Linked DNA regions of Sus scrofa. The protein of the gene in region 3 interacts with the protein of the main gene of each other region in a biochemical or structural test. Links are inferred from orthologs where the notes say so. Each region holds a gene or a part of one and is shown on either strand. Other genes may lie near its edges.

Region 1 (4,606 bases), on a different chromosome or scaffold from region 3:
TCCCAGGAGGCTAGGGGTCAAATAGGACCTGCAGCTGCCGGTCTACACCAGAGCCACAGCAACGCCACATCTGAGCCGCATCTTCAACCTACACTGCAGCTCACGGCAACACCAGATCCTGTACCCACTGCGTAGGGCCAGGGATTGAACCTGCATCCTCATGGATACTAGTCAGGTTTGTTACTGCTGAGCCACAAAGGGAACTCCTAGCAAACTTTAAATATTAGAGATTTTGAAAAGTTACATTTTAAATACATTAGAAAAACAGCATAAAAATTGCTTAAATGACTATAATAATTTTACCTAGAATGCTTTTCAAAATTCTAATGGCATAAAAGGAAAGTAGGAACTGGGACATGTGTTCTCAAAAATACTTCCCAATTAATTCTGATACTTAGCTGTCATCCTTCCCTGGCTTAGAGTCTTAGATGTATCCCTCCTTTAGCTATTAATGGGTTAGTGTAATTAAAGGTAATTCCAAAGGTGTGCATGAAAAATGAATGCCAAATCAAATAATTGTTAACCTTTTCAAAGATAATATAAAATGAAACAAGGTTTCAAGTTTACAAAGTAAATGAATTAACCACTAGCAAAAGAACAGTATTTGTGCTATATTTTTTTTGTCTTTTTTTTTTTTTTTTTTTTTAGGGCTGCACCCACTGCATACAGAACTAGGGGTCGAACTGGAGCTGTAGCACCAGCCTACACCACAGCCACAGCAACAATCTTTTGCTATATTTTTATATTTTAGGTATATATAAAATGAGAGTATATTTCATGTACTTGTCTCTCCCTAAAATAAAATTTAACATGATTTATCTTATCTAGAGTTGTAGATTTTAAGAGGAAAAAATAGCACTCAAGTTTTCACCTCCATTTTCATCATACTTTATTCAAAGTACAGATTTTCAGCACACCCTCCTGTGCTATGCACTCATGGTCCCTTACAAATTGTCCCCAATGTTCTGCTAACCCTGACTCTCATTACTTCTCAACAAAGAACCACTAAAGTTTAATTATACAGTGCTTCTGATCTTCAGAGTCTTTTCATAAACATTATCTCCTTTAATTTTCACAAAATCCTGTAAACGGAGCACTTCACTAAAGAAGGAAACTCAAAACAAAATAATGAAAGCTCACAGGGAAGAACTGACTTGTGGCCGCCTGGGGGAGAGGGAGGGAGTGGGAGGGATGGGGAGCTTGGGGTAATCCGATACAACTTGGAATGGATTTACAATGAGATCCTGCTGAGTAGCATTGAGAACTATGTCTAGATACTTACATTGCAACAGAACAAAGGGTGGAAAAAAAATGTATACATGTAAGTGTAACTTCGCCCCCATGCTATAAGTGGAAAAATAAATTAAAAAAAAAAAAAAAGAAAGAAAGCTCATAGGATGGTAGAGATGGAAATGAAATGCAGATCTTTTGGTTCCAAGACAGAATCAAGCCAGTCTTTTTGATATTCTCCACTACAAAACACCTTGGCCCCACCTCTCTGCCTTTAATCCCTAGCTAGAAGTTCTCTCTGTCCATCCAAATTTTCCCAGTCTTCCAAGATTTCCATTTCAGTGGAGCCTTAGGTAAGCCATTCTAAAGAACCTCTCAACTGAACTTCCCAGGCATGTATAGTGTGCACTATGCATCCTTTACCTTAATCAGATACAAAAGTGAGCTGCTTCTTTAATCTTTAACTTGAACGTGTGTTATTTCTCTATCTGGAATCTAAAGTTCTAGGAGAAAAAAAAAACAAATTCTAGGAGAAAGAAATGGTATTAGGCGTTACTTCTGAATTGACTACAGCATCTAGCATAGTGTTAGTATATATTTGGTCAAGAAATACTTCTTACATAGAAATAGAAAAAGAGAATAGTACCTGGAGGCATAAAGGATGATTATAAGGTGCAAAAGTAGGTACGTAAGAATGAAGCACACAAGTTCCGATGAAAAAGAAAAAGGTAAAGAATGAAGAAATCTGCAGTACAGAAGACAGCACTAATAAATCTGCTTTGAAGACAGCAGTACCACAGACGCCAAAGGAAAACTTGAAAGACGAACTGTAATTGCTGCAGGCAGAAGACAGTAGGGGGTTCGCTTCAATGATGTGTAAAGAGCTCCAGGAAAGTTTTGACAACTACAAAGGGCATCTAATGAGTTGTGAAAAGAGAGGACTGTCAGTTCCATAAGCCTGAATATCAATAAATCTATTAAAGTTTTCAGGTGAGTCTTTATATGAGCATTACCTTCTTAGCCAAATTACTCTGTGCAGGACTCCACACAAAATTTAATCAAAGCTGGTCTTGGCGACTTTCACATTAATCCAGTTCCCTTCCCTCTCCACCCTCCTAGTCTTCCCAAGCTTTTGCTCCGTTCCATTACAAAAATGCAAGCGTTTGTAAATTTTTGCCAGCAGGACTAAAACATGGCTTTCAAGTTTGCATAATTTGTCCTACCCTGGGAGCAGTGGATCAGTTAGGTGACAGATCTTGCCTTCCACTAAACACCACACGGTCGGGGCAGCAAACCCAGCCCCAACCCGTAGGATGCCCCTAGCCTCGCGGCACCCGCCACACCTCCCCTTCCCTTCCAACTGCTCCATACCCACGGGGGAACCTCGGGGTCCACGGGGTCGAGAAGGGCTCCAGCACCGACAACTCATTGGCCAGCTCCTGGAAGTGACAGGACATGAGGCCAATGAGAACACGGTACCGGGCCAAGGCCAGGTAACGTGATTATGGAAGAAGGGCCTTCGAGAAGAGAAGGAAGTCGGGGCAGGAAATTCAGGCTCCCGGCGAATGGTGACTGCGAGGTTATGGGGCAGAACTCACCCACGGCGACAGAGCCCATAACTGCATCCCCTAATGGGCCTTTGGGCTGGGCAACCAGCTGCGTCTTCCTCCTGGTGACGAATTGAGAGCGACAGAGCCGAAGCCAGCGTGACCCCTAGAAAGCAACAACTTCCGGTACGCAGCATCATGGGAAGTGGCTTTGGCCCCAGGATCCAGCGGCACTGACGCTGCTTAATCAGCGCCTGCGCGAGGCTCACGCCCGGAAGTCTGGACGCCTCCTCACCCGGAAGTCTAACTGTCAATCAGTTTTCCCCGCTCGGCAGTCAGTCTCTGAGGTTATCTAAATAATTCTAGGAGTTCCCGTCGTGGCGCAGTGGTTAATGAATCCGACTAGGAACCATGAGGTTGCGGGTTCGGCCCCTGCCCTTGCTCTGTGGGTTAACGATCCGGCGTTGCCGTGAGCTGTGGTGTAGGTTGCAGACGCGGCTCAGATCCTGCGTTGCTGTGACTCTGGCGTAGGCCGGTGGCTACAGCTCCGATTCAACCCCTAGCCTGGGAACCTCCATATGCCGCGGGAGCTGCCCAAAGAAATAGCAAAAAGACAAAAAAAAAAAAAAAATTCTAAAAGTATGGGTATGTGGCCGGAAGTTTGGAGTCTCATGGATTGTTACCTTACTCAAACATATCACATCTGAAGATGTGATGGGGGGGCGGCATTTAAATTTCACGCAGTTTCCATAGTTCTTTCCAATCAGTTTCTAAAGTTGAGTATTTAAATAAATGGTCTTGAAGTAACTTTGCTGACGGAGGGTAAAATTTATAAATAATTACTGTTTATTTGTTCGAAATAGCTAAGTGCCAAGCCTTCTGCAGAGCAACTTAAATTAACTTAGGCCTTGTCTTATGCAGAAGACACAATAATCTTTAGGGGAAAAAGGATGCAGATTCCAGTAGAAAAGTAGGCCACGGTTATAAACAGATAATTCACAATAATAGAAAATGATATGGGAGTTCCTGTGTGGCTCAGTGGGTTAAGGATACCATGTTGTCACTGCTGTGGCTCACGTTACCACTACAGCAAGGATTCAATTTCTGGACCAGGAATTTCCATATGCCATGGGTGCAGCCAAAAAAATTTTTTTCAATAAAATAAATAAAAGAACATGGTATGAGAAGTTCCCATTGTGGCTTAGTGGGTCACCAACCCTACTCATATCCATAAGGATGCAGGTTCCATCCCTGGCCTCGCTCAGTGGGTTAAGGATCTGCCATTGCTGCAAGCTGAGACGTGGGTTGCAGATGTAGCTTGGATCTGGTGTAGCTGGGGCGTAGGCTGGCAGCTGCAGCTCCACTTTGACCCCTAGCCTGAGAACTTCCATATGTCACAAGTTTAGCTATAAAAAGAAAAAACAAAACAAAAAGCAGATTTGGAGCCATTGTACCACCTGCTTCCCTTTCCTAGAATGCTGTTCCCCTTTGATCTTACCCTAATTTTGTTCATACCTTAAAAGTCACTTTCTCACAAAGAAATTGAAAGAGCAACCTAGTTAACATAGCCACCCAATCACATCACCTTATTTTACTTTTCAGCCTAGCAAATCACTATCTGGTATTTTTATTTCACATTTACCTCTATATTTATCTTCCCCACCCCATCCCCCTACCCTCATAAATACACAGAAACAAGTAAATGTAAACTTTTTGAGAGATGGGACTTTTTTTTTCTTTTTATGGTCACACCCACCACATATGGAAATTCTCAGGCCAGGGACTGAATCCAAGCTGCAGTTGCAACCTCTGCTGCAGTTGTGGCTATA
Region 2 (4,746 bases), on a different chromosome or scaffold from region 3:
AACTGGAGATTACAATGAGTTCTATGAGGTCAATGACCCAAAGGATCATTGAAATGATGCTGTCCAGAAAAGACCTACTTCCTCACTTTGCCCTCCTTCTCTTCCTTTCTTTAACCCACTGACAGCCCAAGCACAGAAAAACCATCAAGTTATAATAATGAACACTGACAGATTAAAGACCAAAAAATGTGTGTATATAAATATACGTATATATAAATATCTCAAAATATTTTTCTAACAGTCTGCATTTGTTGCACCAAATGATATATAAATTCCAAATTGTAATTTGTCTTTCACAAGCAGCAAAAATGTAACTGGTAATAACTTCTATCATGAAAAGTCACATACTCTTGGAATTCCCATCATGGCGCAGCAGAAACAAGTCCAACTAGGAACCAAGAGGTTTTGGGTTCGATCCCTGGCCTCGCTCAGTGGGTTAAGGATCTGACATTGCCGTGAGCTGTGGTGCAGACTGCAGATACGGCTCAGATCTGATGTGGCTGTGGCTGTGGCCTAGGCATGTAGCTGTAGCTCCGATTGGACCCCTTGCCTGGGAACCTCCATATGCTGTGGGTTTGGCCCTAAAAAGCAGAAAAAAAAAAAAAGAAACAACTGTATGGAAATCCATGCTTAAGAACCTCAAATTCAACAACCCATTCTTGGAGTTGCTATTGTGGCTCAGCTGGTAACAAACCTGACTACTATCTATGACGATGCAGGTTCAATTCCTGGCTTCACTCAGTGAGTTAAGGATCTGGCGTTGCCGTGAGCTATGGAGCAGATGGCAGACGCGGCTGGGATTCCACATGGCTGTGGCTGTGGCTAGGCCTGCAGGTGCAGCTCTGATTTGACCCCTAGCCTGGGAACTTGCATATGCTGCAGGTGTGACCCTAAAAAACAAAAACGAAAAAACAAAAGAAATCCATTCTTTACAAAGTTAGATAATCTACCGCTCCCCTCATAAAGTCAAAGGAGAAACCAATTTTAGAAACTTGTTCGATTCTTTTCAGCTATATGAATACACACAGAACTTTCAAGCCTGAGTGTATATTTTCAGACAGAGATTTCCAGGCCTCACCCGCCAGAAATTCTTTTATAAGTTTGGAATGGAGCCTGGGAATTGGTATGTTTACTTAAAAAGTTCCCCAGGGACTCCAATCAGCAGCCAGGTTTGTCAGAAGTGCTATATACCTTTACAAGATGGGCTCTTTCCAACCCTTACTGACATCCTAGTAGTCTATAAAATTATCAAAGTTCTATAAATGTGCCAAATCGAACAGCACCAGGCCACCTTACTGAATCCCTTTGTGTTCCCATCACCTCTGGGGTTACTGCATTAATTTCAGTTCATTCCTCACAACAGCCGTCTTCACCTTTGTAGTAACCAAGTAATAAGCAGAGGAGTAAAACAAAGGAAAACTATCACTCCAATACCCGGAAATCCTGTGAGTTCTAACAAATGAAGGAGGCAAACCCATTCTAGCTCATTCCAACTAGTACTGAATGGTGAACGCATTGAAACACATTCAAGGGTGGTCTGTGAAGCAGGGCCGAGAGGTTAAGTTAGATGAGACCTCATGGATCAGAAAAGAATGGGCCAAGGTTCTTGAAAAGTGAAACTTGAAAGCGGGGCCGGTCGCGAAGCGGGCTGTGCGGGCACATCCAGCGGGTTTTGACACTCGACACCCCAGCCTTCACTCAGGTTGCTAGGAAACAAAAAGGCTCCCTGTTCCCTGCACCCCTTCCCGGGGCTGCCGGAGAGGAGAGGGGCCTCGGGGCCCGAAAACGCCACGGGGACCGGCCTGGGCACTGCCCCGGGGGCGCGAGGACGGAGGAGCCCTGGGGCCCGCGAGCTCGGGCGGAGGGGCCGGGCGCAGGCACCGGGCCGCGAGTTCAGAGGGAGGGCGGCCCGGGGCTCCGACTGGCTGGGAACGGGCCCTCAGCGCCTAGCGGCACTCCGGGAGGCCGCCTGCGGGCTCGCGTCCCGCCAGGCCGCAGCCCAGGGTCCGGGGCTGGATGCGGGGCCTAAACGACCACCCGGTTCGGCGCGGGGGAGGGGCCGTCTACTCACACGTGCTGACAGGCCGCGGTCCGCACGGGCGTTTTGAGCACCTCCTGACAGACAGGGCAGTAGAAATCATCTTCGGTGTAGGACGTGGCCGCAGAGAGCTCCTCGGCCATGGCGGGGGATGGGGATGAAAGCGATGGCGGCGGCAGCGGCCGAGGTGGCGGTGGCGGCCCGGGGCCCGACTCCCTGCGCGACCCAGAGGGGGCGGGGAATCGCGTCAGGAAGCGTCTCGAGTCAGGAAGGGGGCGGGCCGAGGCGGGGTCGAGACAGGGCGGGGCCGAACGCCGAGACCCTATGGCCGCACGCGCCAGGCGAGGGTCGAGCCCAGGGCCGCTCCTGGCTCAGGGGCAGGCCGGGAACGCGCGCCGGGTAAGAGGCCGCAGATGAGAGGCCGGCGATTGGCCGGCCTCACGGCTGCTTCCACCGGAGCCAGGAGCCGCCCCTCTCGCCCGGGAAGGGCGTCCCCAGCCCGCGGCCATTCCCCCGCCCCCCTCAGGCCACTCCGTTACCTGTCTCCACGCCGTAGCTGCGACTCCGCCCTCAGCCCTCTTCTGCGCGTCCGGCCTCCCTTTCCCTGACTTCTCAGTTCCTTTTCCCCACCCCCACCCCGAGCCCCCCGCCCCCCGCCCGCGCAGCCGCCTGCTCCTCACCAGGTTACCTACCCTTTTCAGCGGCGCCCCGCCCCGCCCCCGTCCTAGCCAGCCCCCGTCCCCTCCCCCGCCCGGCCCGGCCCCGCCCCGCCCCCTCCCCTCCCGCCCCTGCGTTCAGATTGAGTGGACGCTCACTTAAGAGTCCGTACTTAAGAGCCCCGCAGTCTGGCGGCTGGTGATGCAGGTTCCCTAGCGAGTGTTGGTAGGGAAACCCGGCGGCGTCCTCGGGCTTTTTGTCCAGCCGCTGCCTTTTTCGCAGCCGAGGCCGGGAGGGGAGTGGCGGGGGAGTGCGCAGCGCTCATCGGCCCGACACGGGGCCGGGCCCGAGGCTCATGGTGTACCGGGGTCCCACCGCCCCCTCCAGCAACTCTCCCGCGGCATCGCGCTGCCTGCAGCCTGCCCAGCAGGTCACCGAACAGAAGGGAGCAGCGAGCGCGGGGACTGGGGGGGGGGCGGCCTCCATAGCAACCGCCGCGTGCCCCCTGAGGCAGCTTGCGACATAAACAGCAGGATGCTCACCTGTACCCCCAGCCTCCCCACTGGAGGGATCCTATTTCTCACAACGCCTATCAAATATATTGGGTTTTTCAGGATTTTTCCCTGAAAAAATATCTTATGTTAAAGATCTGGTCCTTACTGTTTTCTGTTGCCAGAATGTTTTGATCATGTCAGGTTGGGTTATTTAAAATCCGTTATAGGATTTTAATCCTTTAGAAAGGAGAATTTTTTAAAAAATCTTTTTGCCTTTTTTAGGGCCTCTCCCGGCGCATATGGAGGTTCCCAGGCTAGGGGTCTAATCGGAGCTGTTGCCACCGGCCTACACCAGAGTCACAGCAACGCGGGATCCGAGCAGCGTCTGCAATCTACACCACACCTCGGCAAAGCTAGATCCTTAACCCACTGATCAAGGCCAGGGATCGAACCCACAACCTCATGGTTCCTAGTCGGATTCGTTAACCCACTACGCCATGAGGGAACTCCTAGAAAGGAAAAATTTTAAAATAAGCCCCCTTTGAGAGGGTTTCAACTTTTGCCTTTAATACAGTGTGCCTGACAGGTTACAGTCGTAGATGCGGTTTTCCACTAACATCTTTGTTTTTTGGTTTTTGTTTACAGCTTTGAAGAAAAATTAAGTAGAAGTATGGATCTAGGCATTTCACCGTTATTCGCTAATTTAAATTTCTTAATGGGTCCTTAATTTCCAGATACATACAGATGATAAGTCTGTAAGATGAGGTCACAACCTTATGAACGGAGCTAAAGAAATGGAACATCATAAATCATCCTCATATCTCTTCTGAAAAGAAAAAGTTTTCATTACCATAATTTGTTAAAACTTTCCACTGAGGACTAAATGAATCATCAGTAGAAGCCATTGAAACGCCTAGTTAATTCAATTCTGTCCTTTATTGTCTACGTTGTCCTTGGCATTATGTTAGATATTATGCAGGTGTCATGAACTTTACTCTGAATTCATTTAGACTCTTGGATGTCTATAAAAACGAAAGGACAAAAAAATCGTATTTAGTAAAATACTACATTTTTCATTGACAGTGACTATAATGAGGAAAGGAAGAAGAGCGATTGGATTTGTATGGACTTAGAGAAACCTTATGGAGGAATTGGACTTTGTTTTTGTTATAGTCGACTTACAATGTTCTGTCAATTTCTGCTCTACAGGAAAGTGGGAAATGGATCCTGATGTCCACCTTAAAAAGACATTTCCTAGGATAATACTGAATTATTTGTCCAATAAATAGCAAGTTCCCTCCAAAACCAAACTAAAATATTTTGTATTTTTCCCCCTTTTCTCCCTAGCAAAATCAGAAGCAAAGCAGGAAGGCTAACTTTAGCTTCAGATTTCTTGGGAGGAGGAACACTGGATGAGAGAGGTATCTAATAGCAGTAGGTGGCATGTGGATGTTCCCCAGCCGGGGATCAAACCTATGCCACAGCAGTGACAATGCCAAATCCTTAACCTGCTGAGCCACCAGGGAACTCCCAGCTTTCACATTTTTTTTTTTTTTT
Region 3 (2,798 bases):
GACCGAACCTGCAACCTCATGGTTCCTAGTCAGATTCGTTAACCACTGCGCCACGACGGGAACTCCCATTATTTCAAGTTCTTTAATGAGCCTCTAATTGCAGGCCACTGAGAGCTAATTCCTTCTATTAAACTAGCTTCTCTTTGGTTCTAGTTATGACAAAAACACTGACCAAGTCATTAGGTAAAGTCACTACTGTGTAAGACCAACAGCCATTTGCTTCACTGGCCATCACTTTATTTATAACAAATCCTCATCCAGTCATAATAAAAGAATCTTGACAATTTCAGCAACAGTTAAGAGCCAATAATCTTCTCTACTAATACTTAAAACTTTCTAATGTAATGCCTAATGAGACTTTTCTAATAACAAATGCCAGAGCCTTTCTTTCAAAAATGGTCAAATGACTTTCCAGACAGTTCAAAGTGAATTTAAATAGATTTACATACTAACCCTGATTCTTCCATAGGTTCCCATCACTCCCACCCTCTTTTTGATTCTTTCTCCTGGCTGGTACTGCAGAAACTTCCCCTTCTCAGATACTACATCCAGTATTTACAAGTAAATCTACATAGAAGAGTACATATGAATAATTCTGCAACCTCTTACTAGTCTGGGTTTTATTTATACTCACCCACTACAGTTCTACATTAAAACCATCTTTTACTGACATTTCTTACCTCCTGTTTACCACAGATTATGTAGCAGACTGAAAACACTTGATCTCTTATACCCAACCCGACCTAAAAAAAAAAATCCTCCTTAGACACTTAAAAATAAATCACACTATTTTGGAATGCAACAACTTTATTGAAAGAAAAGTGCAATGAAATTTGTTGAAAGCTTAAAAGGGAGAACTTAGAAACCTCCCCTCAAGCGCAGGACCAAGTGCAGGGTGGACTCCTTCTGGATGTTGTAGTCAGACAGGGTGCGCCCATCTTCCAGCTGCTTCCCGGCAAAGATCAGCCTCTGCTGGTCTGGGGGGATGCCTTCCTTGTCTTGGATCTTCGCCTTGACATTCTCGATGGTGTCGCTGGGCTCCACTTCCAGGGTGATGGTCTTACCAGTCAAGGTCTTCACGAAGATCTGCATCCCACCTCTGAGGCGGAGGACCAGGTGCAGGGTGGACTCCTTCTGGATGTTGTAGTCAGACAGGGTGCGCCCATCTTCCAGCTGCTTCCCGGCAAAGATCAGCCTCTGCTGGTCTGGGGGGATGCCTTCCTTGTCTTGGATCTTCGCCTTGACATTCTCGATGGTGTCGCTGGGCTCCACTTCCAGGGTGATGGTCTTACCAGTCAAGGTCTTCACGAAGATCTGCATCCCACCTCTGAGGCGGAGGACCAGGTGCAGGGTGGACTCCTTCTGGATGTTGTAGTCAGACAGGGTGCGCCCATCTTCCAGCTGCTTCCCGGCAAAGATCAGCCTCTGCTGGTCTGGGGGGATGCCTTCCTTGTCTTGGATCTTCGCCTTGACGTTCTCGATGGTGTCGCTGGGCTCCACTTCCAGGGTGATGGTCTTACCAGTCAAGGTCTTCACGAAGATCTGCATCCCACCTCTGAGGCGGAGGACCAGGTGCAGGGTGGACTCCTTCTGGATGTTGTAGTCAGACAGGGTGCGCCCATCTTCCAGCTGCTTCCCGGCAAAGATCAGCCTCTGCTGGTCTGGGGGGATGCCTTCCTTGTCCTGGATCTTCGCCTTGACGTTCTCGATGGTGTCGCTGGGCTCCACTTCCAGGGTGATGGTCTTACCAGTCAAGGTCTTCACGAAGATCTGCATCCCACCTCTGAGGCGGAGGACCAGGTGCAGGGTGGACTCCTTCTGGATGTTGTAGTCAGACAGGGTGCGCCCATCTTCCAGCTGCTTCCCGGCAAAGATCAGCCTCTGCTGGTCTGGGGGGATGCCTTCCTTGTCTTGGATCTTCGCCTTGACGTTCTCGATGGTGTCGCTGGGCTCCACTTCCAGGGTGATGGTCTTACCAGTCAAGGTCTTCACGAAGATCTGCATCCCACCTCTGAGGCGGAGGACCAGGTGCAGGGTGGACTCCTTCTGGATGTTGTAGTCAGACAGGGTGCGCCCATCTTCCAGCTGCTTCCCGGCAAAGATCAGCCTCTGCTGGTCTGGGGGGATGCCTTCCTTGTCCTGGATCTTCGCCTTGACGTTCTCGATGGTGTCGCTGGGCTCCACTTCCAGGGTGATGGTCTTACCAGTCAAGGTCTTCACGAAGATCTGCATCCCACCTCTGAGGCGGAGGACCAGGTGCAGGGTGGACTCCTTCTGGATGTTGTAGTCAGACAGGGTGCGCCCATCTTCCAGCTGCTTCCCGGCAAAGATCAGCCTCTGCTGGTCTGGGGGGATGCCTTCCTTGTCCTGGATCTTCGCCTTGACGTTCTCGATGGTGTCGCTGGGCTCCACTTCCAGGGTGATGGTCTTACCAGTCAAGGTCTTCACAAAGATCTGCATCCCACCTCTGAGGCGGAGGACCAGGTGCAGGGTGGACTCCTTCTGGATGTTGTAGTCAGACAGGGTGCGCCCATCTTCCAGCTGCTTCCCGGCAAAGATCAGCCTCTGCTGGTCTGGGGGGATGCCTTCCTTGTCCTGGATCTTCGCCTTGACATTCTCGATGGTGTCGCTGGGCTCCACTTCCAGGGTGATGGTCTTACCAGTCAAGGTCTTCACGAAGATCTGCATCCCACCTCTGAGGCGGAGGACCAGGTGCAGGGTGGACTCCTTCTGGATGTTGTAGTCAGACAGGGTGCGCCCATCTTCCAGCTGCTTCCCGGCAAAGATCAGCCTCTGCT
Region 4 (4,754 bases), on a different chromosome or scaffold from region 3:
AGTTACATGATGAAAAATTTAAAGAATGATGGGGCAGCCCAATGCCTAAACTATAATGCAAAATAGAGAAAAGAAAGACTTTAACTTGAAATAGATTCTATTAAACGTTCAAGGACCACCATTTGATAAGGCAGAACAGTAGTAGAGAAAGGTCTGTGCCAACTTTTAACTGCAGCTGTAGTGGAACACACTAAAAGCCTTGTTTTAGGACAAAAGCAGTGAAATAAAAAACAATGGTTTTAAACCTATTACTAGTGTTAACTGCACAGAACCATAAATTTGCCTTTTTCCAACAAAGAACTTTGGTACAAAAAGCCATATAATAAGGGGAAAAAGCAGAAAAAAACAAAATTCTCACATGAGACTAAAACGCAAAACCTGTTTATGAATTTCCATACTTTTTTTTTACATGTCACAAAGGAAAAAAAAAAAAACAAACTGGAGATTAAACCATTCCTTTTAAATAGGACTGAAATTAAAAAGCATTTAAATCAGTGTATGCTACACCGAATCTTCCTTCCATACTACCTATTCCAAACTGAAAGGGTTCACCACATTCCTTTCCCAATTACTTAAGCAAAAACATTACAATTTGTAACCCAGTGTGTTTCCTTCACATACAGTTTGTTGTTGTTTTTAACAAATTGCACTGGAGTAAGATCATTCTAGCTAGTATCCTTTTACCTTGACTATGGATTGTCCCAAACAACGATACTTTTTGGAAATTAAACTTCATTTCTCTAAGGCCAGTCAGTACATATTGCAAGTATCTGCATCTGAAAAGTACAGTATATGGTGACCACAAAACATTAAGCATGTAGTGGGTATACACAATATTCTAAATACTAAATACGTGCCTTTAACCAGGTATCTGGTTATTCACAAACATGAATATTAAACATTCCCCTATCAATTCTTCACATTTTCTACAAAATAGACCCAATTTCAAGCCTGAAAGTAAGGCTTCTACTTTTAAAAAGAGTAGAAACTAAATTAGGTAGTCCTTAAAAATACACATACTACATGACTAAGATACTCATTTAAAACTTTTGCCAAGATAGCCCCTCCCTTCAAAACAAACTAAGACTGACTCATAGTCCTATTTGACTTAATTTTAGAAATAAAAAATTAAACGAATTCCTAAGCACTCATTTCTTCTGTCTCTGTACCTCTACCATTTAAAATATTCAACTTTCAATCTGTGATTTGCCTCTTCAAAAATGGTAAAAACAAAAATTAAAAATCCCCAATACCTCTAAGTTATCTACCGTGGAATAAAAAAAAAAAAAATACTGGATTCAGGAATAATAACCACTGCTCTAAAATCGTGAAAAAATAGAAACAATGTCTACGGTCGCTAAGGAGTCGTCCTACTCTGTGACACCATCCCACCGCAGGTGATACTTTTCATCCGTGAAATCACCCTCCATTTGCCAGTTAACCACCTGAGCAAAAGGTTTCAATTTTGTCTCACTAAGGTGGGAACCAATCCCCCTACATCACCTGTTCCGCCCTCTGTGGGTGTTTCTACATGTGGGGCCGGGGGAGGGAGGGAGTCAGTAGAGTTGGTAGCAGGGTGAGGACAAAGGGCATTTTGACACACGGCTGAAGTAAATAGAAAATGAGGACAGAAAAGGGGCTAGATTCAAGTTCTCTAAAGTAGGTAATGGCTAGAAAAAGCAGGCAACCTTGTTTACCAGCGCTAGGGTCCTATTCTTCATGACCGCCCACTGGAATGCGAAGTTGGAACCACCACTATTCAAGAAGCCCAGCAAATCCCCAAAATGTCAGGGCACCAGGCAGCCTCTGGAATGACAGACCGATACCCTTCCCCCACCCCCACCCCCACCCCAAAAGAAAGGTCCAATCCCATAAGTGCAGGTCACTCTGCCCTCTGGGGTAGTTCCAGCCGGCGCAGAGATGGTCCCGATGGGAGGACGAGAGGGGAAAGACAGACCACCTTTCTTCCCGCACACCCTCAGCTGGGGAAACAAAACAAAGACCGCTCTCCTCCTCCTCCTCCTCGGGTAGCCACTACCCTAGCCACAGAGACTTTCCTATTTCCCGGTGCAGTCTGGCCTCCCGCCCCCGCCCCCGCCCCCATGACAAAGAAAAGGCACTTGGAGAGCCAGCGAGGCCTTCCTGCCTCCACGGATGGGGGAGGGGGCTGCCGACGTGAGGAGCCCCCTCCGCTCACCCGCGCTGCCACTCTTGGCCGGGAAAAGAGCGGAAAGCGGCGGCCTCCGCCCGAGGAAGCCAGGTTGGAGAGGGGCTGGGGGTACCTTGAAGTAGCCGCCTTCGTAGAGGGTGTTAGGGGGTCCGAAGATGGCAACCTCCCAGTTGTAGAGGTCGGACTCATCCACCAGGGTGATCCGGAAGCCCTCCACCGGTTCCTCCTGCAGGGATTTCAGCTCAAGCATCAGGGCCTTCTGCGAACTAGTCATCTGCTGCTGGGCCATCGCGGCGGCGGCGGCGGCGGCGCCGGGCCGGGGCCCCAGTCCTCACGCACCGGCCGGGCCGGACCAGGCCCCTCCCCTGCGCTCGCCCTCGGCCGGGCCGCAACGGGCCCCGGTCTTCACACACCCGGCGGCCCGGACCAGGCCCCAGACGGCCCGTGGGCCAGCCCGGTTCCTCTTCACACGACGCGGGCCGGGCCGAGCCCTTCTCCTCGCACTCAGGCCGTGTGGGGGAGGGGTGGAGAGAGTTGGAGAAATTCGCTCCTGGTCCCGGGCCTCCCCCCCCCGGAGGGGGCCTCAACTTGGGGGGGGGGGAGAGGAGGTGGAATTGGAGGAAGGCGGCGGAGGGCCGGCGATGGTGAGAGTACGCGGCCGAGCCGGCCCGGGAGCGCCGCGCTCGCTCGCCCTCTCGTTCTCCTCGGGGGCCGCGGGGCCGAAGGGCGCGCGGAGCCGAAGGGCGGGAGGAGGGCGGCACGCGGGGGTCTCGCAGCGGCGGCGGCGGCGGCGGCGGCAGCGGCGGCGGCTGCGCGGGGGGAGGGGCGACGGCGGAGGAGGAGGAGGAGAAGAGCGAGAGCGCCTCGCGCCGCGGGAGCGACGGAGTCGAGAAGAAGGAGGGAGGGAGGGAGAGAGAGAGAGAGGGAGGAGGGGCGCGCGTCGGGAGGGAGGGCGGCCTGGGGCGGAGGGTGGCCCGACGCGCGTGCGCGCGCCCCTCCCTCCCCCGCCCTCCTCACCCTCACCCTCCTCCTCCTCCTCCTCCTCCTCTTTCTCCCACTTGGGCGCCTCCTCTCCGCTGCCCCGCGTGGTGGCGGCGCTTTGTGACGCTGGCGCGTGTCCCCCACCCTTAAAGGGCCAAGCGTTCGTGCGGGCCGAGGGTGGCCGCAGGAGATTGCCCCTGGCCCCAAAATGACAGTTGTGTGGCTTGACGCCATGGTGTCAAGGCGCGCCCCGGAAGGGACCTCTGATCCTAAAACTGCTTTCGCTCTCCTTCCCCTCGGTGTATCCACAGGCCTCTGCACCGCTCCTTATAGGAGCCCTGATCCATCTTCCCTCCCGCTTCCTTCCAGTGACACAGTCTGCTCTCCCTGCACTCAGTAGATGCTTGACAAGGATGTGCTGATAATGTGGGTCTTATTGGTGGGAACAAGCGTCCCGACATCTCTTCTGCATATCCAGTTCTCATGCCATTGTATCCTTGAGAAAGCTGTGTCACCCGCATAGGGAGTTGGGGGGCAGTTTCCTATTGGAGAAATGAAGAAGGCAGATAGGCCAGTTTCTACTTCCCTTCTTAACTACAATGAAGAAATTGTAGGAAATAGAGAAATAATAATACAGACAGAACCTGGGTTTCTGGCCCTTTTCTGTGTGATTTGAGGCAAGTGCTCTGGCTATCCCCCAGTTTACCCATTTGTAAAACGATGTATTTGGTTGAACTTTGACCTCCCTACAGATCCTTTCAGCTTGAAAGTCCAATCTAGAACTGGAGAACTTTCAAGACAATCATAACTGAAGTGAGGTATGAAGACAGTCTTCAGTCCCCATGGTTTAGAATACCGCTTTCTCTTAGGAAGGCATGTCCTATGATACTGCCTGAATACTTCCTAGAAAGGCCAGGATACTGTGAGTTCCACATAGTTAGAATTTGGGGATCAGAAAGATCCTTGGTTCCAACCCTAGCTCCACCATTTTCATTATATTACCTCTTCCTTGTTCATTTCCTTCCGTAAAAGAGAGTTAATTATACCTAACATATAAACAATTGTAGTGATTAAACAAGATCATCTATGTACAGAATTTAGCACAATGACTAGCACATGGTAAATTATCCATAAATAGGACTTTAAAGAAAAAAAAATTTTAAGGCACAGCTATGTTTGGATACATCTCAATTTTTTAGTAGGCTTAAAAAAAAGTTTTGGATTTATAGAAAAATGGAGAAGATAGTACAAAGAGTTCCCATATACCTGGCAACCAATTTATCCTATTATTAACATCTTACATTAGTGTAGTACTTATTACAATTAGTGAACCAGCATTGATAATTTTATTATTAACTGAGGTCTTTACTCACATTTCCTTAGTTTTTATTTAATGCCCATTTCTGTTTCAGGATTCCTCCTAGACACCATACTATATTTAGTTTTTGTGTTTCCTTAGGCTCCTCTTGACTATGACAGTTTCTCAGACTCTCCTTGTTTTAGATGACCATAAAAGTATTGAAGAGTACTAGTCAAGTAGTAGAATGGCTCTCAATTATAGTTTTGATGTTTTTCTCATGATTAAACTAGAATTTTGGGGTTT
Region 5 (4,744 bases), on a different chromosome or scaffold from region 3:
CCACCAACTGGAAGACCAAGGACCAGGGCTGTGCCCACACGCGGTGGCGCCCCCTCAGCATCTTCCTCTTGCAGAGCCGGAGCCTCCAGTGGAAGGAAAGCAGGCCGCCCCCCGGGAGGAGGAGGAGGCCCCCCAGCCCCGGGGCAAAGCCATCAAAATGGAGCCCAGCCCCCAGGAGCCTGAAGACCGGGAGGACAGTGGGGATGAGGAGCCCTCGGGCCACCTGGCCCCTCCCAGGCCCGAGTTCACGTCTGTCATCCGGGCAGGGGCCCTGAAGCAGGACCTGGTGGGGCCCTGGAGCCTGACGCCTCCTGGAGACCCCCCACCTTCCCTCCTGCACACGGGCTTCCTGCCGCCCGTCATGCGGGGCCTGTGCGCCCCGGGCACCATCCGCTACGGCCCGGCCGAGCTGGGCCTCGTGTACCCGCACCTGCAGAGGCTGGGTCCCGGCCCCGCGCTCCCCGAGGCCTTCTACCCCGCCCTGGGCCTGCCCTATCCCGGGCCGCTGGGCACCAGGGTGCAGCGCAAGGGGGACTGAAGCCTGGAAAAGGCGCCTGCACAGCCGGACCTGCGGGCAGGTGAGGACCCCAAGGGGGCCAGGCTCTCCGCCCCTGTGAATTAAACGCCGGCGGTGCCCCCGCGGCTCCTCTCTCTCTTCCCGACTTCTCTGCACGGGCCCCCGCCCCTCCCCGCTCAGCATCCCCGCCGCAGCAACCACCACGCCGAAGCCGCAGTCAGCGAAGGGTCAGGTTTTAATGTCCCGGTCCTCGGGCCCGGGCTGTCCAGCGCCCCGGCCGTCCCCCGCAGCCTTGCAGCTCACTCCGGTGGCGGCCGTCCCGCCTCATCGGGCCCTTCGGCCGCGGCTGTTCCGTCATCCTCGGGCACGAGTTCCACGTCCAGCTCGAGCTGGCCCATGTAGAGGCCGACGGCACAAGCCCACAGCAGGCCGGCGGCCAGCACGGCGCCCACTCCCGCGGCCGCGCCCCCCAGGGACAGCTGCATGGGTCCCCGCAGCGCCGCCAGGCCCACCACGTAGGAGGCACCGCCCCACACCACGCACAGGCCGCCCAGCAGGAAGAAGCCTGTGGGACAGAGCAGGGTGGGGTCAGGGAGCGGATCCTGGGGACTTAGAAGGGTCAGGGGATGGAGGTGGCCTTAGAAAGGGTATGGGTGCCCTGGAGGGCAGGGGAGGGGGCAGGGAGTGTACAGAGCCAAGGTCCGGATGTGAGAAGGAAGCAGAGGGTGTGTCTAGGACTTGGAGGGGGGTCCAGGATCAGAGGGTGGGGGCGCTGGTCTGAGCAAAGATAAGGGGCAGGACCAGGCCGAGAGTGGGGCTGCCTGAGGGCCAGACCTGCATTTTTGTCCACAAGTCAGGTGGAAAAGGGTGAGCATCCACAGCCCTGCCCTGAGCCACCCCCTCAGGTGGGTCCAGTGCCAATGAGGCAGGGATGGGGTGGGTAGAAGGTGGATGCTCACCAGTGAGGCCGAGGCCACTTTTGGTGGGGGAAGAATGAGGGGTTCTAGCCACAGTTGGGGGGGGTGAGTCTACCCCCATGGAGTGGGGTCTGCATTCCCTAGCTGAGGTGGGGGGGGGAGGCGTCTACACTCTCTGGTGGGAGAGCAGGGGTATGTACTCACCATAAGCAGCTTCACGCCCCATATCACTCTGCATGAAAGAGATGACCCCGATGCCCGATGCCAGGAGGCCATTGCGGAACCAGGAAAGGAAGGCTGCGGGGCGGGGGGGGGGGGGGGGAATGGGAGGAAATCAGCAAGGGCCCACACCCTGCCCCTGCCCCTCCCTGACCAACCAGACAGAGGGGCTCCTCTTCATCCCACCGACCCGACCCCAAATCCCCACCTCTTCCTGACAGCCCCCAATCTAAGAACCCCCAAAACCCTCACTGAGCCCCTCTCCCACCCAACTTGGCAACATCAAAGATTCAAGACAGTCTGCAGAATCTGGAGGGGGATCTAGGACCAAAACTGCAGAACCTAAATCTGGGGACGGGAAGATTCCAAGAGGTCAGCTTGGTCAATGTCTCCCTCACATCCCCATGGCCACCCCCTCACTTCCTTCTCAAACCTTCACACCAACCGTTACCCCTCCCCGCTCCCCCAGGCCTCTCTCCAGCCTCCCCGCTCAGTTTACTAAATCCACGCTGCTATCAGGTGTGCTCTTCCTGGAGGTAATTCACATCCACTCAAGTCCCTGGTGTGGCACTAATCGGGGCTAGTCGGGTTACAGCCATCCCCACCGCTACACCTGTCCACGATCTCTAAAGCCCATCCTCTCCAACCCGGACCCCTCCACCCCCACCCAGCACCCTGCCAAATGAGGCCCCACCCCCTGCAGCCAGGAGCACCATGCCCTCCAATCAGCTCAGAGCTGCTCTTCTATTGGGTGTTCCCTCTTCCAACCCAGAACTTGCCCTCTCTTCTGTGGGGATCCACGCTCCCGCCTTATGCAGAGTGGTCGCCTCTTTAATCCGAACTGGCCTCTCCAACGAGGCCCCCCTCTTGTAGGCAACTCCCTCGCCCCTAGCCCTCTTTGAAAGCCTCCGCCATCCGGACAGGGCCGTTTGATAAGGCTGCCTGTCCTGGCCCGACAAAGCTCTCCAGTCCCTACTGAACCTCATTAACCAGACCCGCGGTCGCATCTGCAAGCCCTTCTATGCGGACAGTCTGCGCTCTTGCAGCCAGCGCTTCCCTGCTCTTACACGGAAGCCGTTCCTCCTCCTGAGCCTCTCCCTGGGCCAGGTTTCCAGCAGGGTCCCACCACCATCCGCTAGCGCGCGCGGGCAGCTCAGCTATTCGGAACCCCTACTCCCATCCGAGGCCGACCCCATCCCCAGACCTGTCTCATGAGCCTTCCGAAGGAGCCAGGCATCTGCGCGATCCAGCTCGGACACCGGGGGCGGCGAAGCCCCAGAGCGGGGGCCGTGGCCAGGGGCAAAGGACCCCCGGGCGCCCCCGCTCCGGGGCCGCGGAGGCGGCAGCAGCGCCCCCCGGAAGCGGAGTCGGGCTAGGCGGGCAGCCCGAGCCCACCACCAGCCACCTCCCATGGTTCGCACTACGGCCGCCGCGCACCGCACCGCCCATGGGCTGCCGGTAGGCTGAAGCTCACGTCACTCGAGCTTAGCGGCCTATCTATTGATTATACGCGTGCCACTCAGGCCCGGTACGCACTGCCCATTGGTCAAAATGGCGCTGATCCCGCCTCTGTCATTGTGCCGGTACTGCGCGGCCCACCTTGTTGTTGGAACTGGACTTCAAATCCCAGCGTTCATTGTGCTTGGGGAAGGCGGGTCTTCTGAAGTCGGAGGCGCGATGTCTGCCGGTACTTGTAGTCTTTGCTAAGTAACTTTAATTCTTGGGGCCAAGAAACCAAAACCAAACAATACTTGTGATGCTTAATGTAGAACCTTTGCAAAATCTCGAAGAGCCCAGAAGAGAAAGTAAAACTCAGCATTAATCCCACCAATGAGTGGTTACTGCTAATATTTTTTTTTTTTTTTTTTTTTTTTTTTTGCCAAGCCCCTGGGCATGCACAACTTCCCAGGGATCCAACCCGGGCCACAGCAATGAGAACGCAGGAGCCTCAACCCACTGAGCCACACCAGGGGATTCTGTCTTTTATCGAAAGAGATGTAAAACGTTTGTTATATGAAAAAAATTAATTTGTCAATCACTAATCAATCATGAACATTGACCTGTAGCACTGAATACTTTGCAACGGCATATTTTTTTTTTCTTTTTAGGGCCGCACCCGGGGCATATGGACGTTCCCAGGCTAGGGATGGAATGGGAGCTGCAGCCGCCGGCCCACGTCACAGCTACAGCCACAGCCACGCGGGATCCCAGCCGCGTCTGGGAACTACACCAGAGCTCACGGCAATGCCGGATCCTTAACCCACTGAGCGAAGCCAGGGCTCGAACCTGCAACCTCATGGTTCCTAGTCTGATTCATTTCCAAAGAGCTACGATAGGAACTCCAGCATATTTTTATCTATTATTTATTATTATTTTGTCTTTGCTAGGGCGGTACCCGTGGCATATGCAGGTTCCCAGGCTAGGGGTCTAATCGAAGCTGTTGCCTACGCCAGAGCCACAGCAACGCCAGATCTGAGTCGCGTCTGTGACCCACATCAGAGCTCACAGCAATGCCTTAACCCACTGAGAGAGGCCAGGGATGAACACGGAACCTCATGGTTCCTAGTCAGATTCATTAACCACTGCGTCACGACGGGAACTCCAGCATAATTTTTTTTTTTAATATTATTTAAGAGTTCCCCTTGTGGCTCATAAGTTAATGAACCCAACTAGTATCTATGAGGACGTGGGTTCGATCCCTGGACTCACTCAATGGGTTAAGGATCTGGCATTGCTGTGAGCCGTGGTGTAGGGTCACAGATGTGGCTAGGATCCTGCATTACTGTGGCTGTGGTGTAGGCCAGCAGCTGCAGCTCTGATTGGACCCCTAGCCTGGGAACCTCCATATGCCACGGGTGTGGCCCTAAAAAGACTATATATACATATATATGTATGTGTATATATATATATATGTATGAATATTTTTTTGAACACAGTACAAGATGCAAAAGTTACAAAGTAAAAAAAAAGTTACAAAATCATCTAATGATAAGTAATACACATCCCATTTCCCAAGCCAATCCCTACCCCCTGTTCCGCGCAGCCTGTTTCAACGGTTCACACTGATGCTTCATAAGAAGGTACCACAATT
Region 6 (2,963 bases), on a different chromosome or scaffold from region 3:
CTGTGCCCCAGCCCAGCCAGGGCTCCTCGAGGCCCCGAGGCAGCAAGGTGAGGAGGTGAAGGGCCGTGTCCAGGTAGATGAACAAGGAGACTGGCCAGACACTCCTGGCTACCAGGCAGTGTCCACAGTGGTGGTCTCCCCCACTGCCAGTCTCCTCCATGCAGCTCTGTTCTTCCCACCTAACCTCTCAGCAGCCCATAAACCAGACAGGGGGAAAGGGGAAGGAAGCCAGTGGTAGCCTCAAAAGACGTCTGCTCTGCTCAGCTGGGGCCTGCGGCTGCCGGTGCCGGTCCATGTCTCCACCTGCCCGAGTGTCTCAAGTCTCCATCCAGGATGTGCTGGGGTTGACGAGGCAGCTTCTTGGTCCCAGACCCTAGTCTTTCTCAAGCCTCTGTCCAGGTGGGACGGCCCTGGCCTTGAGGGAGGTAGAGGCTTCATGCAGACGGCTACAGGCTCCTTTCTAGACTCTGGCATAAAAGCCTCTTATTTCTCAAGTGAGGGGGAAGAAAACACTCCATTGTGAACGGCTGGGAGTACACCGAAGCCCTCGTACTCAAGTTAGCTTCAGCGCTCCATCCACCGAAGTCCAGTCCAAGAGCCGCTTGAGTTGACTTTTTTTATAGAACTGGTTACGTCACTTAAGACAGCTGACCTTGAGCTTTTCCTCCCAGAAGAGGGAGGCGCTGCCCCTCGTGAAAAGAAACCAGAGGACCCCATTTTTATCCAACAGGATGTCAACAGTGGCAGGAACCTCCTCAAAAGGGCCCAGAGAGGGGAGGTGTCCTACGCAAGGTCTCAGGGGACTGAGAGTAGAGCCAGGAGTTCTGGCTTCCTACCCCAGGGTTAGAAAATATTTGTTCCTCCTTGAAAATAAATATTAAAAATATCACCAAGTTACCAACAGTCCATAGGGAGTAGGCCTTATTCCCAGTGATGTTGACCCAAAGGCTGCACATTTTTAACTACAGTCTAAATCGCTTAAAAAATTGCAAAGCCATGATGTTCCATTCAGAATGCAGTCCCATTAGGTGACAGGCTCCACTGCATGGCCCAAAATTAATCAACGTTTATCGGCTGCGTAAAGGATGTTGTAGTGGGATGTTTTATAGAGCAGGTAAACGGAAGGGATGGCGGCCTCGGGGAACACGTGGTGGTTCAGGGCCGTGTCCATTTCGTCCACATACTCCACCTGCAAGGCAATGTTCAGTGCCTGGGACAGGGCTGTGATCTGGATGTGGTCACACTCCATGGCCATGGGCTCCACTTCCTGCAGAGGCCAAAACGAAAGAAAAACCCAGTTGAGGAGGGAAGCCTGGCAGAGGGCAAGTGAAAAGTCCAACCCTGGCTTTTATGGTCCTAGGTCAAAACCTCTGCGCTGGGAAATAAAATCCACAACCACCCATGAGGCAGATGTTGACACCTGCATTTTTCAGAGGAGGAGACCCAGGCTCAGTGAGGAGGTAACAAATAGCCAGAATTGCAAGGCTCGAATCTTGATCTTTTTTTGATTCTCAACCCCTAGTTCTGTGTGAAAAGAGACACGCTGAGGAATCTGGAAAGAGGAGCAAGAGTTTCAGCTCTGGCTTCCTAACGCACATAATCAGAGAATCCTGGCACAGGGAGGGACTCTGTCACAAGGGGATCTCAAGCTTCCGTGCCTACAGAGAGCTAGCGAGTGAGTCAGTGGAGAGACAGACGGCTGCGAGCTGGCTGGCGTGTCGCAGGAGCTAGGGCACTTGCCACTTAGATCCTGCTGACTGTGGTCATACAAGAAAAGGCCTGGGGAGCTAGATCGATGTTTCCAGAGAAATCCAAACATTCATACAAAAATGGCCCAGTGTTTAAGTGTTGGCCACTCTTTCAGGTAAATACCGTACATCATAAAACAAAACACGTCTTAGGGCAAATGTGACTCTGCGGTTGCTTCTCTGCAGTTTTGTGAACAGTTCAGTCCAAAACCCTTACTTCTCAGATGGGGAAGCTTGACACCCAGAGAGGGAAAGTGACTTGCCCAGAGCCCCACTCCGGGAGGATCTTTTGGGCTTGCTAATCTAGTGCTCTCTGCATGGCGGTGTAGGCTTGACACCCAAGTCCCCTGGTTAGGGAGTGCTGGTGCTGAAGTCTCCTAAGGAGAGAGGGCTGGGCCCAGGACCTACGTGAGTGCAGAAGTCTCTGATGTCCATCTCCTCGTCGATGAAGTGTCGGAAGAAGTCCGCGCGGTTCCTGATGAAGGCTGAGGTGAGCAGGCGCAGGAACTGCACGATTCGGTCCGAGGAGCTCTGGTCGTTGAACACCTTCAGCAGGCTGGACACGGAGCCGTCCTTCTCCACCAGCTCCACCACGCTGTAAAACTGCACCCCGGCCACCATCAGCCCGGGGACAGGCCCCGCCCCTCCCTCCCTGCATTTCTGGCTTTAGATCCTCAGGTTAAAGCACCCAAATCAATCAGAGATCCCACCAGAGCCAAGCAACAGGGTTAGGGACACTTTGTAATGAGTCCCTTACCCGGAGGCCCATCTGAGGATGCCGTTGGAGGCTCCCTCAAGGCCGAGGCTGGCGCTTCTGTACAGATGAGAGGTGAGTCCTCCGGCTCCTCGCTTCACAGCGGGGCCAGGGGAGTGGGGTGGAGAGGGGGTGGGCGGAGTGAGGCCGGGAGGAGCTTCCAGCCCGAGAGCTACTTCCCCAAAGCAGGTGCCTCTTCCCAGAGGGAGGCCAGGGCCCTGGGACCCCTGTCCCCTTGATGTCCCCACGTGCAGGAAGAACCTCCAGTCCTTCCCAGCTGGGAGGAACAAGAGAGGCACAACCACAGGCCATGGGCCATGAGAGGACTCCAGCCAGTGCCAGCTCCTGTCTACTCTGCCAGTGAGGAAGGCCCTGGTCCCTCAGCCATTGTGTCCAGCTTAACTCACAGCATTAAAGAAGTTCTGGAACTTGTGCTCCTCAAAGCCAGCAGCCAGAAGGTC
Region 7 (4,547 bases), on a different chromosome or scaffold from region 3:
TCTCTCTGCCTCATCCCAAAGGCAAAAAGATAAGCAGTCATATAGTGCTGGGGGTGAAGAATGAAGAGTTAGTATCATGCCCCGTAAAGGAGAAACGCTGGTGAGAAAGAAGTCTTTCTCCTCAAAGGACCTCCACTGAAGTTTACACAATCTCAAGCCACAACAAAAAAGATTCTGGGAGGGGCTTCCTGTAGGCTGGAGAGGGGAAGTGTAGGCCAAGGGGACTTGAATCAGAGATTGGTTCTGATAAGTAACTTCAGATTAGAGGCATGAAAAACACCCCACAATTCTTCCAGTATGTCTCCCTTGACAGCTGGAGTTGGGACAGCAACTTGTTTGCCCCCTAAACTGCTAGACTCACGAGTAGTTCGCCCACTACATAGAATATGAAAATGCTGATTACTGATTTAGGTTAAAAAAAAAAAAATATATATATATATATATACATATATACTCCCTCTGCACTCATCTACCTGTGTGTATGTTCTTTCTGTCTATTCCCATCTAGATCTTGTTTTTTGTTTTTTTGTTTGTTTGTTTTTCTTTTTAGGGCCACACCCACAGCATATGGAAGTTCCCAGGCTAGGGGTTGAATCAGAGCTACAGCTGCCAGCCTATACAACAGCTCACAGCAATGCGGGATCCGAGCCGCGTCTGTGACCTACACAACATCTCACAGCAACTCCAGATGATTAACCCACTGAGCAAGGCAGGGATCGAACCTGCAACCTCATGGTTCCTAGTTGGATTCGTTTCCACTGTGCCACGACAGGAATTCAATCATCTGGGTCATTTTATTTTTTTATTTTTTATTTTTTTTATTTTTTTTATTTTTTGTCTTTTTCGCTATTTCTTGGGCCGCTCCCGCGGCATATGGAGGTTCCCAGGCTAGGGGTCCAATTGGAGCTGTAGCCACCGGCCTACGCCAGAGCCACAGCAACGCAGGATCTGAGTCGCGTCTGCAACCTACACCACAGCTCACGGCAATGCCGCCGGATCGGTAACCCACTGAGCAAGGGCAGGGACCGAACCCGCAACCTCATGGTTCCTAGTCGGATTCGTTAACCACTGCGCCACGACGGGAACTCCATCTGGGTCATTTTAGATGTCAGCCCTTGGACCTGTTTAACCTGCTCTTTACCAGCACTAAGCATAGACATTTCATTAACACCATGGATAGTAAATGATAAAAGGCCACAAAGCCCTGCCCCCTGGAAAATATCTCCCTGCAACTTCCTTGCTCCCCTTTCCCCCTTGATTGGGTGAGAAAAAGGGAGAAATTAAACTTGCTAGAAATCTTTTCTCTTGCTTCCTCCTAACCTGAGACTATGCTTCCTCTTGCAATCCCTTGCAATCTGGCAGGAATTTAGGGCTAGGGTAAAGCCTGGGAAGTGAAGCTGAAGAATATAAAAGTCACCAAAATAAGCCTAGTCACCCAAATTGATCATCCTCCTGATTCAAATATAATTTATGCTATCTGCATCTCATTTACATGTTGTTAATTTAGAAGAATCAGAGTATAGCAAAAATTGCCTGCAGGCCTGACACTTTTTTTTTTCTCTCTCTGTCTTCTTTTTCCTCCTTTCCCAAATGACACTTAGGATGAGCCTGGGAAGCAGAAACAAGAGCCTGGGAACACTTTTTTTAAAGCTTAGAGAAAAACAGGGAAGAAAAGAAAAGATCAATAATTAAGTGGGGGCTGGGCAGCTAGCTGGCCAGACAGGTAAACCAAAAGAACCCAGGAGCTGGACACCGGAGGAAGCTGGGTCTCAGAGAAACTGGGCAAAGTTGGATGGGCTAAGTCTTCAGAATAGAGGCAGGAAGCGTGATGGAGAATTTCTCCTCTTCAAGGTACCTGCCTGGTGCTCCTTCAGAGCAGGAGAGAATGAGGGAGCACAGGTACTCAAACAAATCAGGATTTCTCTTTCTTTTTCCTCTTAAATCCAACACATTTTCTCCAGCTGGAATTATCCTCTGGTGGTGAGTGAGAGGTAAAGCAGCCCAGACCCACCCCTAGCCAGCGGCAGTAAGTAGCCAAAAGTTGGAAGAAGCATATACAACTGGTACCCAGCTTCCACAAGACGCCCCCCACCCGCACTCCCTAGGAACTTTACTCTCCCCTCAAGTGCTTTACTGTCCCCCTCTAATCTCTTTCTCGCTCTGATGCAAATCGTCACAGAACTAATGGTTTAGAAGTTCTCCTCAGAGTTAAGTCAACGACGGTGCCTTGTCTACGTGCTAGCAAGGGAGAGGGGGAAGGTGTCATTAAAAGGAAGAAATACAGGGACCCAAGCAGCGTCTTTTACATATTCCTTCTGCCTGAACGCCTCTCAAAATCTAAACGTGTAGAGACCCAACGTGGAAGAACAGTCAGTGTCACCTCCCCAGGGCTAAAGAGGAAACAGAGGACTGGGGATTAGGAGAAGAGGTGAAGGAAATGGTTCAAAGTTTTTACCTTAAAGAAGTGGGTGCTGTTCCAGGACACAGAAGGAGGGTGCAGCTCTGGCAATACGATGGGGCAGGTGGGTGCAGTGAGGGGCGCCACCACACTCCCAGCTGCCTTCCAGCTGTCAAAGCCAGAGCTCGCACAGGTTTACACGGGTTTGTGCGCAGCAGTCTTGGCCGGATGGTGGCCACTTCCGGACTCACGCCCACGGCCGGCCGGGGGCACTGGAAGAGGGTGGAGACCGGCAGGAGTGCAGCCCAGGTACTCCCAGGTCGCTCAGAGCGTCTCCAGGATTTCTGAGTCGCCGAGTCTAGGGCGTGCGCTCCAGGCCCAGTCTAGCGAGCTGGTTTTCAAAGGAAGTTTGTGGGTTTTCTTTTTTCTTCTTTCTCTCTCTCTCTCTCTCTCTTTCCCGTCGGGACAAAGAAAAATCAGTCAAGGACAAGCTTCTGGGAGGAGGAGGAGCCAGGCCAGCACTGGAGGATTTCCATTAGGGCTTTCTGACCTGGTCAGCAGCTTGGTGATCAGCAGTGAGAGAGAGAGAAACAGGAGAGAAAAACAACAGACCCTTTCTCCTCCCTCCGCCTGCCGCTGGAAGGGACGGAGCGCTTGTGCCTCTCTGGTGAGAAGAGGGAAAAGCAAGGGCCCTTGCTGAGTGGGGAGGAGGAGCAGGGCCGGACAGCAGCAGCTTGTTGGATCTGGGCTTTCTCTCTAGGTACAAAAGTCCTTTGCTCTGGATCCACAGAGGCAGGCCAGACAGCGTGATATTAGCATAATTACTCATTTAAAGTGAAAAATCCTTATCCTTTCAAAATCCTTACTATATCTCTTTTTTGTTTGTTTTTTGTTTTTTAGGGCCGCACCTGCGGCACATGGAAGTTCCCAGGCTGGGATCTAATCAGATCAGCAACAAAGGATCTGAGCTGCATCTGCCACCTACACCACAGCCTACGGCAATGCCAGGATCCTTAACCCACGGAGCAAGGCCAGGGATCGAACCCGCAACCTCATGGTCCCTAGTCGGATTCGTTTCCGCCGCACCGCAACAGAAACTCCCTCACTTTTTTTTTTTATAGTTAATAATGATTTTTATTTTTTCCATTATAGCTGATTTACAGTGTTCTGTCAATTTTCTGCTGCACAGCAAGGTGACCCAGTAACACATACACGTATTTGCTCACTTTTTTAGTCTAGAAACCAGTTGGGCTATGCCCCTGGTAGTGCAGAGAGGGTGTGTAAGAAGCCCCAGGCTCTGGGAAGAGTGAAGCAGGGAGAAAACTAGCTGAGCAAGCAGGAGCTTCAATATCCCTCTGCTCCGGTCCTTGTTCCCACCACAGGCCTCAGCTTCTCATCTATCACCTCCTCTCAATTCCGAGCTTGGGGAGCAGGAAAAACTGGTGTGAGGTTGGTGGTAGGAAACAAAGGGATTCATTAATAAATGAGGGAACATTTGATGAAAAGAGTACATTTATCACGGAGTTCCCATTGTGGCACAGTGGTTAACGAATCCGACTAGGAATCATGAGGTTGCGGGTTCGATCCCTGGCCTTGATCAGTGGGTTAAGCTGTGGTGTAGGTCACAGACAAGGCTCAGATCCCATGTTGCTGTGGCTCTGGCGTAGGCCGGCGACTACAGCTCCGATTAGACCCCTAGCCTGGGAACTTCCATATGCCACAGGAAGCGGCCCTAGAAAAGGCAAAAAGACAAAAAAAAAAAAAAAAAAGCACATTTTCTGCAGTATTCTGCACTACCCTGGGGCTGGAAGGTGGTAGTTAAATGTGGTTGGAACCCAACTCTACATTCTGAAAGGTTCCCCCAAGCTCTACTTACATGGCTGCTCCAGGATGAAACTTCAAACAACTCTGAAGGCTGCAGGGGCATTTGGAACAATTAGGGAGGCAGGTGAGCAGAAACCCAAGTTACAACAGTCCGGAAAAAGAAAGAGAATTTGCTGACGCTATAGAAAAAAAGAGGCTATAGAGTTGTAATGGCAGCAACTGGAGTTGGCAAGAGGCTGTAGGAATTAAGAAGAGAGGCCAAAGATTATTACGATGTTTTCATATTCCAATATTTTTATAACATGGATAATCACAAAATTGTGAT

What was found.
Region 1: the proteins of UBC (region 3) and USP16 form a complex in vitro, tested with the Homo sapiens proteins (8 studies listed by BioGRID, with this or other methods). The link is inferred for Sus scrofa from reciprocal best matches to the Homo sapiens genes UBC and USP16.
Region 2: the proteins of UBC (region 3) and RNF138 form a complex in vitro, tested with the Homo sapiens proteins (3 studies listed by BioGRID). The link is inferred for Sus scrofa from reciprocal best matches to the Homo sapiens genes UBC and RNF138.
Region 4: the proteins of UBC (region 3) and UBE2R2 form a complex in vitro, tested with the Homo sapiens proteins (3 studies listed by BioGRID, with this or other methods). The link is inferred for Sus scrofa from reciprocal best matches to the Homo sapiens genes UBC and UBE2R2.
Region 5: the proteins of UBC (region 3) and TMEM160 form a complex in vitro, tested with the Homo sapiens proteins (2 studies listed by BioGRID). The link is inferred for Sus scrofa from reciprocal best matches to the Homo sapiens genes UBC and TMEM160.
Region 6: of the proteins of UBC (region 3) and OTUB2, one has a biochemical effect on the other in vitro, tested with the Homo sapiens proteins (5 studies listed by BioGRID, with this or other methods). The link is inferred for Sus scrofa from reciprocal best matches to the Homo sapiens genes UBC and OTUB2.
Region 7: the proteins of UBC (region 3) and MINDY1 form a complex in vitro, tested with the Homo sapiens proteins (5 studies listed by BioGRID, with this or other methods). The link is inferred for Sus scrofa from reciprocal best matches to the Homo sapiens genes UBC and MINDY1.

What each region holds. Positions count from the first base shown.
Region 1 is NC_010455.5:192,375,242-192,379,847, reverse strand, and holds the start of USP16 (ubiquitin carboxyl-terminal hydrolase 16), read right to left. Parts: upstream 2,967-4,606; 5' UTR 2,848-2,966; coding exon of another isoform or gene 2,829-2,847; intron 2,670-2,828; exon of another isoform or gene 1-2,669. UniProt on the Homo sapiens protein: Specifically deubiquitinates 'Lys-120' of histone H2A (H2AK119Ub), a specific tag for epigenetic transcriptional repression, thereby acting as a coactivator.
Region 2 is NC_010448.4:115,925,166-115,929,911, reverse strand, and holds the start of RNF138 (E3 ubiquitin-protein ligase RNF138), read right to left. Parts: upstream 2,892-4,746; 5' UTR 2,868-2,891; intron 2,755-2,867; exon of another isoform or gene 2,731-2,754; intron 2,704-2,730; exon of another isoform or gene 2,578-2,703; intron 2,255-2,577; 5' UTR 2,182-2,254; coding exon 2,072-2,181; intron 1-2,071. UniProt on the Homo sapiens protein: E3 ubiquitin-protein ligase involved in DNA damage response by promoting DNA resection and homologous recombination.
Region 3 is NC_010456.5:28,258,763-28,261,560, reverse strand, and holds the end of UBC (polyubiquitin-C), read right to left. Parts: coding exon 859-2,798; 3' UTR 790-858; downstream 1-789.
Region 4 is NC_010452.4:33,011,407-33,016,160, forward strand, and holds the start of UBE2R2 (ubiquitin-conjugating enzyme E2 R2), read right to left. Parts: upstream 3,068-4,754; 5' UTR 2,460-3,067; coding exon 2,283-2,459; intron 1-2,282. UniProt on the Homo sapiens protein: E2 ubiquitin-conjugating enzyme that accepts ubiquitin from an E1 ubiquitin-activating protein, and catalyzes its covalent attachment to other proteins by an E3 ubiquitin-protein ligase complex.
Region 5 is NC_010448.4:52,874,089-52,878,832, forward strand, and holds TMEM160 (transmembrane protein 160), read right to left. Parts: upstream 3,174-4,744; 5' UTR 3,066-3,173; coding exon 2,858-3,065; intron 1,732-2,857; coding exon 1,639-1,731; intron 1,083-1,638; coding exon 817-1,082; 3' UTR 735-816; downstream 1-734. Other genes in the region: NPAS1 (neuronal PAS domain-containing protein 1), read left to right, coding at 75-538.
Region 6 is NC_010449.5:115,321,611-115,324,573, reverse strand, and holds part of OTUB2 (ubiquitin thioesterase OTUB2), read right to left. Parts: coding exon 2,910-2,963; intron 2,352-2,909; coding exon 2,157-2,351; intron 1,268-2,156; coding exon 1,061-1,267; 3' UTR 1-1,060. UniProt on the Homo sapiens protein: Hydrolase that can remove conjugated ubiquitin from proteins in vitro and may therefore play an important regulatory role at the level of protein turnover by preventing degradation.
Region 7 is NC_010446.5:98,217,251-98,221,797, reverse strand, and holds the start of MINDY1 (ubiquitin carboxyl-terminal hydrolase MINDY-1), read right to left. Parts: upstream 3,183-4,547; 5' UTR 2,456-3,182; intron 1-2,455. UniProt on the Homo sapiens protein: Hydrolase that can specifically remove 'Lys-48'-linked conjugated ubiquitin from proteins. Has exodeubiquitinase activity and has a preference for long polyubiquitin chains. May play a regulatory role at the level of protein turnover.